Daphnia pulex: one gene and its partners. The main gene of each other region encodes a partner of the protein of the gene in region 3 in a complex. Links are inferred from orthologs where the notes say so. Each region holds a gene or a part of one and is shown on either strand. Other genes may lie near its edges. The genes, in order: proliferating cell nuclear antigen-like, ribonuclease H2 subunit A-like and ribonuclease H2 subunit B-like.

Region 1 (3,061 bases), on a different chromosome or scaffold from region 3:
CAACCAAGGCTTTTAACAAAGCAATCTGAAAATTATCTCTCACGCTCTCGCCGCTCTCTGTACGTCTTCTTCAATATTTTGCTTCCCTTTCTCCCCAAGCACGATTCGAGCTGATTGTGTGCCATTTCTTAACACAACTGTAAAATGTCAATGTTTGCAGTCCTTTCTATATTCCTTCTTCGATGAATAATAACCCTCAATTTCCGATGCTTCGATCTAGGAGCTCGACATTGCTGCTGCCGAATGAAATAGTGTCATCACTCTATTATTTCACTTTTCAGCAAGTCTCACGTTCTTTTTTTTTTAAATATTGGTAAGAGCTCCTACCAATGATTATCATGTTTATCGCAAAAAGAACAAGTCCAGAAAATACAAAATGAAATGTTGTTTTGTTTTTAATTTTTAACCTTACCTCCTAAAATTCAGAATTTTAACGATAGATTAATTTAGTAACTCGCTACAATGGACTCGTCAAACTGTAAATCGAACTTCGCTTATTTACTGAACTTGGCAATAGGTAATGAGTGGGGCAGAATATCTTCTGGACACCGCTCGCAGACGCGGAGACCGTGTTGCTATAATGAATGGCTTCAATAAAAGCCTGAAACGAAAATTAGTTAAGACAACACGGAAATTAGGAATACAAAAAGTGTATGATTTTTAATGACATCATAGAACTTAGGTGCGCCAGTGGTGATCTTATACAAAAATTAGGCAGCTTCTTCGTCTTCAATTTTAGGGGCTAGGTAATAACGGACGTGGCCGATATCTTCGATTTTATACTCGACGACCAGGGGAACTTCAGGGGACATAGAAAGCTGAACGGATTTCGAAAGGGAGGTGGCTTTCGTGAAAGAGTTGAGGTATCGGCAAGCAAATGTCAAAGAGACGGGCTCCTGCATCTCAATGACGACAGCCTCTTCTTCTTTGTCAACCTTGGCAGACTGGGCAAGCTTGATGTTGCCAGTACCAATATCTCCTGTTGCTGAAAACCTTACACCCTCTTTGGTGCAGGAAATGACCATAGATTCTCCAAATTGACTCAAGTCTCTGCAAATTCTGGCAAATTCACTAGATGGCAGCCTAATGGTGCATGCATAGTCAGTTTCCTAAAAAAAAAAAAAAATATGGAATTATAAACCAGTTTGCTATTAGGGGAAATAAAGTAGAAATTAAAGCTCAATTACAGGGATGCCCAAATGTTCCTGATCAAGGTTCATCAGCTTCATCTCATAGTCTGAAACTTTATCTTGCTCTGGGGACTCGAAGACAAATGTAACAGTATCAGCATTGTCCTGGGCTTTGATCGTAATGATATCTTCATTGGAAGCACACTTAAGGATCTTGGACATGCTGTAAAATCAACAGACTGTTAAGAAATTTTCGTTAAATACAATTTTGTTATGAATCATACCTTCCCAAATTCATGCCCATTGACAAGTTACGATCACATCTGTACTTGTCAAATCCCTCAGCTCTCAGATTGAGAGAGACGAGGCTGACATGGGAATTGTCCATGGCTTGGAGTTGGATACCGGCATCAGAACAATCCCAGGCTGCTTCGTTCAACAAATCCTTCAATGCTTCCATAACTTTCTTCAACAAAGAACCCTGAAGAAGACGTGCCTCAAACATGATGATGATAAAATGATGTAAATAAGAATTGACAATGAAACACGTAGTAACAACGATGAAGCAGCAAATGACGTAGCAGGAATGTGTACGCTCAACTCAACGCTTCCAAGTACTCAACAATGACTGAGTGCAGACTGCCGCCGTGGTTTTCGCGGCAAAATCATCGCCATCTGACGCACGATTCTGATTGGACGATTTTGATCATGTGATATATAAATGCCTCAAGGTTGGAGGGAAAAATTCGAATCTTTTGTCTGTTTCCAGATCTAGTGACAGTGGCAATGATGCACACAATGGCTAATACTAAAGGATATGTGAGTGTCATAGAGATTTTGAAACTAGTTACTTTAACAGAAAAATGTTGAATTCCAGGAATACTTAACACAAATCTATTACAATACAAAGTCTCGAATCGAGGAGTAATACATGGGAAATTATTTTACAATTGATCAAATAATTAGCTCATTTACAGGTGGACACGCATCAACGTATACAATGATTTCAACTCATAAGACAACATAGTGTAATTCAGGCTATTTAAACCCTCGGCGGCATGAATAATTTTGTTCTTTTTCATGGTTACAAAGCGGTTAGGATTGGGAACCTCTTTTTCGTGTCTAAGCATTTTATATTTCGCAACATTTTTTTCAAATCGTACCACGCCAAGTTCAGCTTGAGACACACGAAAGTAAAGGTCATCATCCTCTCCTCCCCATCCATAAAACAAGTTGGAAAACCCGTTGATACTTTGGAAATGTTGAGTTGTCATTGCCACAGCACTACAGAAAAAAAAAAAAAAAAAAAAAAACAGGGAGCATGATGAAATGCAGAAAAATAGATAAAATTAAATTCAAACTTTACCCGCCAAAGATTCCACAATAAGGTAGCTCATAATCGAAGGTATCTACAGCTGAGGACAAATGGCGAGGCATCTTTGTGCAGGCATAGATATTATTCAGGCTCAAGGGAATGAGATCGACCTATGAAAACAAATATATCTCTCGGTGATCCAATAATTCATGAGAAACAAATTACGTCATGGAATATGTAGCAATCGGATGGAAAACGTTTCTGGCTCTCAACAAATCCAACGTTAAATAGCTTTCCACGATTGAATTGCATTTCCGGGCTTTGTTCGACGACGATAATCCGGTAGTCGATTTCCTGTAACTGTAAATACCGATGCAAATAATGAAGGAAGACACGTAGTTGTTCTGGACGTCGCCTGTAGGGAACGACGATATTGACGCGATATTTTGAGAAACAATCAACAGGCTTTGAAGCGCCACCGATAGCAATATTTTTCGATGAATTGGTGAAAGTTTTCAGCACAATATCACTAATGTTCAGGTTTAATTCGATTCCTTCCGAAGAAAGTTGGCGCTCGTACAGATGAAAGCAAAAATTGCCGTTAATTGGTTGGCTT
Region 2 (3,340 bases), on a different chromosome or scaffold from region 3:
TCCGAAATGCACGATTTCTTTCAAGAAGTGAAAATAGACGCAAATACATCATCATAAGTGAATGGACTCAGGCAAAGCTTCATTTATGACTCTGTTTCCTACAAAATAGAGCAACTAATTAAATAGAATTAAATAGTCTACCTAAGTAATTCCACGATTATACCATGATTACTTAATATCCAGAAAAATTTCAAGACATACACTATATATAATCATTTTTGAATGAACTATGATTTAAAGAAATATGTACTATTATCAGAAATGCAGCAAACTATGTTTCAATTCCATACATCTAAGTTTTCTAACAGTTGTTTTTCTGATTAAAAGTTCACTGGTAATTCAAGATCACTAGTAAACCATCAATTTTTTTATAAGTTGAGATAAAAAATTATTTACCCTGTTTTCTTTTTTAAATCACAGAAAATTCTAAGTTGTTTACGAGTTTTACCTTTAAATGTTTTCCAGTCCAACTCCAAACAGAGCGGATTTTCGACAACCGACAAAAATCCTTTTCGTCTGCTGAACAAAATCAACGCACTGCCAAATTTTTAAAATTCAATATTCTTGCGTTGTGAACTTGTGATTTGCGAAAAAAAATTAGTTTTCGGAAATTAAAAAAGTCGTAAAAATTATAGAAAATTCTTTTTATTTCTTAATTTCACATTTAAATAAGCTTTGTTGCTTGCTTCAACTTACGATCGATAAAATAAGGATGTCTACGCGGGGAATTCGATTTTCCTGAATTGTAAAAGAATTTCTTTACAGAAACTGCTTGATTTTCTTGTTCTTCTGTGTCTTCCCATTCTACTGTGACACCTTTGGTTTTCAAGATCTGCTCAGATGTGGACCAAGAAAATCTTACAAGTTGAGGGAAACCAAAAACCACATCAATATTCTGAGCCAAAAACTTTTTTGTAGTAGGATCTGCAACACAGAGATCAATCGTTTTCATAATTGTATAATTATTATTTATTATAGGATGTGTCAAATTTATTACCTCCTGGGTAGCCACTTCCCCATTTTAGTTCTTGGTTTTCTGCTTTTAAACTGATGAATGGAGACTCTTTGAATTTCCAAGTTGACAGTGCCTTATCACGAGCAACTTTTGCACAAATACTAGCAGCACTGACAACTGGAAAGAGAGAGTCAGCCTTTTTGGAAACAGTTATTTTGATACCTGGAAAAAGAGCTGAGAGCTTGGCTTGATACTTCTCTGGTGGACCTACAGTGTCGACAAAGACTGAAGTGATGTTTGCTTCTAGGCTAAGTGCTTTCCTGATAAGGCCAATTGCCGAATCATGAGACACTTCATTCAGACTGTGTTTGAGCCTTTTGAACATGTTATTGCAGATGGAATTGGGTGAGATTACTTCTACAGCCCATCCTACAAAGTCTTGAAGTGAATCTAATTTTCCAAATAGTTTCTCACGCTGTTCCTCTGTCAGTGTTTTTGAATCAGCACATCCAATAGCTTTCAACTCCTCTGCTCGAGATTCAGGGCAATATGTTATTCCATACACCATGGGACCTTGAAATAATTAAATACTTAACCATTACCATTGCTACAAAATGGTGTTTGTGTAAAGTTAAAAGTTACCCAGAACTGGCCCTCTGCCTGCTTCATCGATTCCTAAAGCACACGGTTGTTTTCGACAAACATCAGGTACTTTTGACACGATTGTGATATTTCTGTGGTTATTATCAGAAAATGCTTGTAAACCTTCATCCATAGTGAAACCAGTGAAACTTCGATTATGTTTATCTGTTGTAAAGTGGCAGAGCCTGAAGTGTTGTTAACTCAACAACTGCAAAAAATTTTTTGGCGGCAAAATTAATTTCGTCGGTTTTAAACGCAATGTTGTCAGTTTTCACTATACTACTACCATTTTCTTATCTTGGAAGTTGGAAAAATCCGATAAATTTCTCCATTACTAGTTTACTTACCGTTATCCCGTCTTCACCAGCAATACAAAGGCAAAAACAAGAAGTCAAGTAATCAAGTAATTGAAGTCAATCACTTAGTTGACTTGTTGTTTGTTTGCTGGCCAAATAGAGGGTTTCTCTCTGGCCAAACAGAGGGCTTCTACTTCTAGCCTTCTAGACTATCTTGTATCTTCAGTCACAGAGTCAATGAACACGGTTGATAACACACTTACTTATAGGTCAATGACCGTCTTCTTGATTTGCTATTTAGGCGACAGTTGAAAGGGGCGAAACTGTCAGTTTCCAAGACGGTCTGTAAAAATAGTTTTGTTTCATATTCAGTACGTCTTGGGACTAGTAATTTCTTTCCAGATTCCAGCACATTATACATCGAAAAGAGTCTCTGTTGACTGCGTGTTTAAAGCCATGATTGATCCAGTGATACTTGTGCATGGCGGAGCCGGAGACATCCCTGAATGGCGAGTTCCGCTAAAGTTGCATGGTGTTCGAAAAGCTGCCAGAGCTGGATATGTCAGTTTGTCAAAGGATGAATGCTCCGCGTTGGATGCTGTAGAAGCTGCCGTTAAAGTAATGGAGGACGACGAAGCCTTCAATGCGGGTACAAATACTGCCATACTGTATCATTAAATGTATACTAAAAATAACGTAGGTTTTCTTGTACTATTCAAAAGGTAAAGGATCCGTTCTAACGATTAAAGGAACGATTGAAATGGATGCCATAATCATGGAAGGAAAAAACTTGAAAACAGGTACGAATTTAGCTATACCATCTCTATTAACAAAGAACTTATGGAATATCTAAATATTGTACACAAAAAAGGTGCTGTTGCTGGTTTAAGTAATGTTTCCAATCCGGTCACAGTTGCTAGACTCGTGATGGATAGCACACCTCACATTTTTCTAGCTGGCCCAGGTGCTAATTCATTTGCTCGGGAAAAAGGAGTACCGTTTGCATCTGACGACGAATTAATTACAGACTTTGCTCGTGAGGCGCTGGATGATTTTATCCATGGCAGAGGAGAAGCTACCAGTGAACTTGGGTTATTCTTTTACCTTTCTAAAATTCAGTTTTGAAGAGTGTACATAAATAAATTTAGCCAGGAAAGCAAACATGGGACTGTTGGAGCGGTAGCGATAGATCGCTATGGCCGTATGGCTTGCGCAACATCGACTGGAGGAATGACCGGCAAACTTCCAGGAAGAGTTGGAGATACTCCACTTGTCGGAGCTGGAGGATATTGTGATGACGCTGGAGGGGCTTCATCTGCAACAGGTCACGGGGAATCAATCGCCAAAGTATGTCTATGTCATCATATAATTGGATTAATGCAATCTGGTTTGGGTCCGAAAGAGGCAACACAACGTGCTCTAACAAACATGCAAAATAGAACTGGAG
Region 3 (4,152 bases):
CTCAAACTTTCTCTAACCAATGAAACCTGCAAAGCAAAAGCCAAAAGTACATTAATAAACCAATAAAATATCAAAATTATAAAATAGATAATTTGAGCTGTTTAATAAAAATTCTCAAATAAACCAAATTGTAACTCTTCCCAAGGTGATCAAAACTTTTCACAAATGCTTATTTGAAACAGTTGGTAGTTGTCAAATTGCTTCTAAATCATGAATTTTAGGCCCAACTCGAGTAAATTCTAAACAAAGAACACAAATAGACTATAATTTAACAAGATGCTAACCCACGGAAGTTGTCTTATTACAAGTAGATGTTACCATTTCAGCTTGCCTAGTGTGCACATTTTCATCTCACAACATGGTAGAGGAATCATCAGAAGCTTGGGATCTTATCTCATCTTGTTGATTTGGCATTCCACATTGAGAACAATCTCCACCAACCTGTCACAAAAAAAATTAGATTAGTTATTGACACTTTTCAAATCATTATTAATGAAAGTTCATGTCTTCGCAAGCTCAATTCAAGGGCATCTCTCAAATTTACAAAATTCACATAACAAATCACAGAAAATATTCGCAAATGACATGTAACTTTAGTTAACTAATGTTTGATAATTGGTAATAAAACAGCTCAATTTTCTATCAGAAACCTCACAGAATTTTAATGTGGAAACAAAGTCATAGAATCATTATGTTACTCTACATTATTACTTGTACTGTTCTAAAGTACTTTGACATGACGAAGAGTGCAACACTCAGCAAGAGACGACATTTTAAACAAAGTGTACAACACACATGGCCACATTGAATTGACTAATATAAATTTAAGGCCATTTACCCGTAAATTGACCGTAGAAAACATTAAGAATTAGAGTAGGAATTACCTTATTTTATGAAGAACAATTTCAGGAATGAAAGTACCCAGCAATAATGACTAGAGTAACCTTCTCGGTCAGCGTCTCGGAAGTAAAAGAACGACACTTGGTTTCTCGTCTCAAAACTGTGGTGACCCCCCCTCCAGTACATCCCTCTACCAACACAGGCTGAATAGTTGAATCCCTAAACACACTGAAATTTTTAGCCACCTAGTGACAGCACTTAGCATCCACGGACGAGGAAAACTAGAGTCGGACGGAAAAAAATAAACCAAATTGTCAGCTACCTGCGTTAGCAAGGTACCCGAAGACCTTTGTTTCAAATTTAAAAAAAAAAAAACATGCTGGAAGCATGAAAGGGGAAAGCTTGCAACCCGGCCGCTAATAATAGAAAATTACGGCAATGTAAACCATTTCAAATTTAGAAAAGCAAATACTAATTTGAAAGATGGGAGTATGTATTAAGAAAAAGAGGAAACGAGAAAAAAATAAGGTGTTCGATAAAGATTAGGACACGACACACGAGGACACATACTCTATTTCTTCCCAAAAAAGGAGGCTATACTCTTCGATCCTTTCGCCGCACTGGCTAATGCTTTCGATTTCGCTGAAACTTGAATTTTTTCCTATCAGGAAGGAATATAATTTATTTAATCCAATTATTATACATGTACTGTATATCTTGATTGACTTACTTTTACAAATGGTTTCTGGTCTTTGCTGTAATCCTCTGTTGGCTCGGATTTGATATCAGAACCGAACTTTTGTCGTTTTGCGGGTGGCTCTTTAACGTCATCGTTATTAGCAAATTTGGGCACAGCAGGCAGTTCTAAATGTTTTTCCAACGCTGCGCTCAATTCGTCGGATAGGTATTCAGATATTAGCCCGAATGCGTATCGCGTAAATAAACCTTGATAATTGAGGAAATCATTAAAGGTCTAAGTGAAAAATATAACCTTTCAAGACAATTACTTTCTGGAACCGTTGCACTATCAGTTTTTACATAGTTTGATGATACAGCTGATGATTGGGTTACATTGAAATTTTTGTCTTTTAGATGTTGAGTAAGTCGTGACACTTTTTTCCCTAGCCAATCAAAGGTTTTTCCTTCATTATATTTCCATGCTTGAAAAGTTCCAGATTGTTTACAATCAGCAATTTTTTCAAGATCTTCTTTTTTGGAACACAAAGATAACTTTCCTGTATCCGTATACTCTTCATCAACAAGTAGTTGATCTATAGGGCTTGTATGTTTGGCCTAAAGTCAATTTTAAACAATGTTATAAATGGTATGAATGGTATAAAGTTTTTCCAAATTAAAATTGTTATTGTACTTTTTGTAAATATGGTATGATGACGAACAATGGATCTATAGTGGTTGTTAGAAAAAAAGAACCATCTGATTGAACAGAGTTATCAATGAACCATGATCTTCATTAAAACAAAATAAGGAAAATTTTAGTACGCAAAATAATGTATTTTAAAAATTCATTACCTTTTATTTTCATCAAATTGATTCATTTCGTAAAGTTTTGTGTTGTTGTGGGAAAATGCATACAGAGTTCCTGTGCCTGTTTTTGGATTACGTAGTTTTCCAACCACTATACCCCTTTGGTTATCATTCAACATGCCATCTTTTAAACAAGAGAAAAGTTAGCTAAATAAATATTTAAATAGAAAACATTCGGTTACCTGGGACAATCATCACACATTGTGATTCAGGATGGGTGGTCTTGACAGCAGAAATTGTTGCATTTCTAGCATTGCTTTTAGTATCCTTTTCTGGCGATGAACTAACATCTACGATACTTTCTTTAATTGAATTCTTTCTAGTTATTCTTGGCATTTTTAAAACACACGAAATCAATATTGAGGTTTTATATTTTAAATGTAATAGCTTATTGAAATGGCACTGTAAAATGTTGAAGATTCGCTTTTGTTTGATTTCGCGGCCAAAACGAGACGAAAGTTAGCAGACGAAGTTTCCATCGTCTTTTATGTGATGTTGCTCTACAAAATTAAATAAGCGCTGGGCCGGCTGGCTGGGCGCCTGGGCGGCTGGGCCAGAGCTAGGCCTATAGCTCTGCCTGGGCGAATACGGCCGAAAAGGCGAGAAAAACGGAAAAGCCGCTATGGCCCGCTGCAGATTTAGAAATCCTGTTACGATATTTAGAATTAATTTATGAGCTCTGCCCGCTGTCACGGGCCATCTACAGCTCACAAGTCACAAGTCACAATTCACTAGAACTCTGCAGTCTGCATTATAGGATAATTAACTGTACACGTTGCTCGTTGCGTTATTAAATTGACATGCTACTGAAAGAAAAATTCATTGTATCCACTGATTAACAAATTGAAAAGATTAATAAACAGATACAGAAATGGACCACTGCATTTGTTAAGAACAATGAATTCATGTATAAGTATTAAGTAAGTATTAAATCTTAAATGGAAAGACGGGTAGGCCACCCGTCATTTATCCTGGCTTCTTTTTCTAATCTCTCAACATTCTCGTCTTCAATGTTCATTTCTTCAGGTGATAAAGACTGCATTTGCTTCAATTTGCCTGTAACTTCTGACATGAGCTCGAGATTAAACTGATGATCATCTCCCTGTCTAAGAGGAGGAAGGATGTCATCACAAGGTTCCCATTCCAAACCTTCAGCTTCTGTCATAAGTTGAAGCAGCTCAGAGGTGTTGAATTCCAGACTAACACTGTCCACTTCTTGGTGCCACAATCTCCAAAGATCTAACAGTTTTGAATGATTTTTGGACACTTTTTTCTGTGCAGACTGAATGTCATTTTGCCTTAAGAGAAGAGGTATTTCAGGCATTCCCTCTTTTCTCCACTGCAGCAATTTTGCTTCTAAGGCCAATCTCACATAGTCCAATACATCTTCATCTGCAGAATGAACCCGCTGTTTGACACATACACATTTCAATGCATCAGTATGTTACTTTATTTAAAGAGATTTATTGTTTACTTACTGCACATAAATGTTTAAGTTTTTTAATGTAGTGATTTTTCATCAAAGTTGGCCTGCATTTACAGTGCAATATAACATGTCGTTCTAAGTTTGATATGCTGGAGCCTTGGTACATTTGACATTGAGGACACTTTAACTGTGGTATCAAATCTTGCCATCTAAACAGGGAAATTATAGGAATTAATTTATAGCGCGTTGTTTAGTCGTTTGAAGTAATAATCTATACCTTGCGTCTTTTGGTAGAGCTGTTACATTTCTATCCCATTCCATTTTTATATAATAAGAAAATT

The links.
Region 1: the proteins of ribonuclease H2 subunit B-like (region 3) and proliferating cell nuclear antigen-like are in contact, whole or in part, in a crystal structure (PDB 3P87), measured with the Homo sapiens proteins. The link is inferred for Daphnia pulex from reciprocal best matches to the Homo sapiens genes RNASEH2B and PCNA. Residues at the interface, in NP_078846.2 of Homo sapiens: Asp290, Ser292, Gly293, Met294, Lys295, Ser296, Ile297, Asp298, Phe300, Phe301; in NP_002583.1 of Homo sapiens: Met40, His44, Val45, Ser46, Leu47, Glu124, Leu126, Gly127, Ile128, Pro129, Phe207, Ala208, Asp232, Val233, Pro234, Tyr250, Leu251, Ala252, Pro253, Lys254, Ile255, Glu256.
Region 2: the proteins of ribonuclease H2 subunit B-like (region 3) and ribonuclease H2 subunit A-like are in contact, whole or in part, in a crystal structure (PDB 3PUF), measured with the Homo sapiens proteins. The link is inferred for Daphnia pulex from reciprocal best matches to the Homo sapiens genes RNASEH2B and RNASEH2A. Residues at the interface, in NP_078846.2 of Homo sapiens: His16, Phe18, Lys39, Asn42, Gly48, Ala49, Ile50, Val63, Lys64, Val65, Phe66, Lys67, His70, Phe74, Val79, His86, Phe87, Val183, Tyr211, Gly214, Leu215, Asp218, Tyr219; in NP_006388.2 of Homo sapiens: Val227, Phe228, Ile253, Trp254, Glu255, Ser284, His285, Tyr287, Phe288, Arg291, Gly292, Leu293, Glu294, Ser295, Ala296, Thr297, Ser298, Leu299.

What each region holds. Positions count from the first base shown.
Region 1 is NC_060019.1:11,503,987-11,507,047, forward strand, and holds proliferating cell nuclear antigen-like, read right to left. Parts: upstream 1,768-3,061; 5' UTR 1,636-1,767; coding exon 1,415-1,635; intron 1,354-1,414; coding exon 1,188-1,353; intron 1,110-1,187; coding exon 711-1,109; 3' UTR 635-710; downstream 1-634. Other genes in the region: beta-1,4-N-acetylgalactosaminyltransferase bre-4-like, read right to left, coding at 2,102-2,414, 2,497-2,615, 2,671-3,061. UniProt on the Homo sapiens protein: Auxiliary protein of DNA polymerase delta and epsilon, is involved in the control of eukaryotic DNA replication by increasing the polymerase's processibility during elongation of the leading strand.
Region 2 is NC_060022.1:3,315,466-3,318,805, forward strand, and holds ribonuclease H2 subunit A-like, read right to left. Parts: upstream 1,870-3,340; 5' UTR 1,731-1,869; coding exon 1,598-1,730; intron 1,529-1,597; coding exon 998-1,528; intron 925-997; coding exon 665-924; 3' UTR 630-664; downstream 1-629. Other genes in the region: isoaspartyl peptidase/L-asparaginase-like, read left to right, coding at 2,350-2,542, 2,616-2,693, 2,765-2,984, 3,042-3,340. UniProt on the Homo sapiens protein: Catalytic subunit of RNase HII, an endonuclease that specifically degrades the RNA of RNA:DNA hybrids. Participates in DNA replication, possibly by mediating the removal of lagging-strand Okazaki fragment RNA primers during DNA replication.
Region 3 is NC_060027.1:3,615,953-3,620,104, reverse strand, and holds the start of ribonuclease H2 subunit B-like, read right to left. Parts: upstream 2,883-4,152; 5' UTR 2,722-2,882; coding exon 2,568-2,721; intron 2,510-2,567; coding exon 2,371-2,509; intron 2,307-2,370; coding exon 2,210-2,306; intron 2,134-2,209; coding exon 1,848-2,133; intron 1,786-1,847; coding exon 1,571-1,785; intron 1,502-1,570; coding exon 1,412-1,501; 3' UTR 885-1,411; intron 442-884; 3' UTR 285-441; intron 240-284; exon of another isoform or gene 27-239; 3' UTR 1-26. Other genes in the region: uncharacterized protein LOC124206984, read right to left, coding at 3,320-3,793, 3,864-4,020, 4,089-4,132. UniProt on the Homo sapiens protein: Non catalytic subunit of RNase H2, an endonuclease that specifically degrades the RNA of RNA:DNA hybrids. Participates in DNA replication, possibly by mediating the removal of lagging-strand Okazaki fragment RNA primers during DNA replication.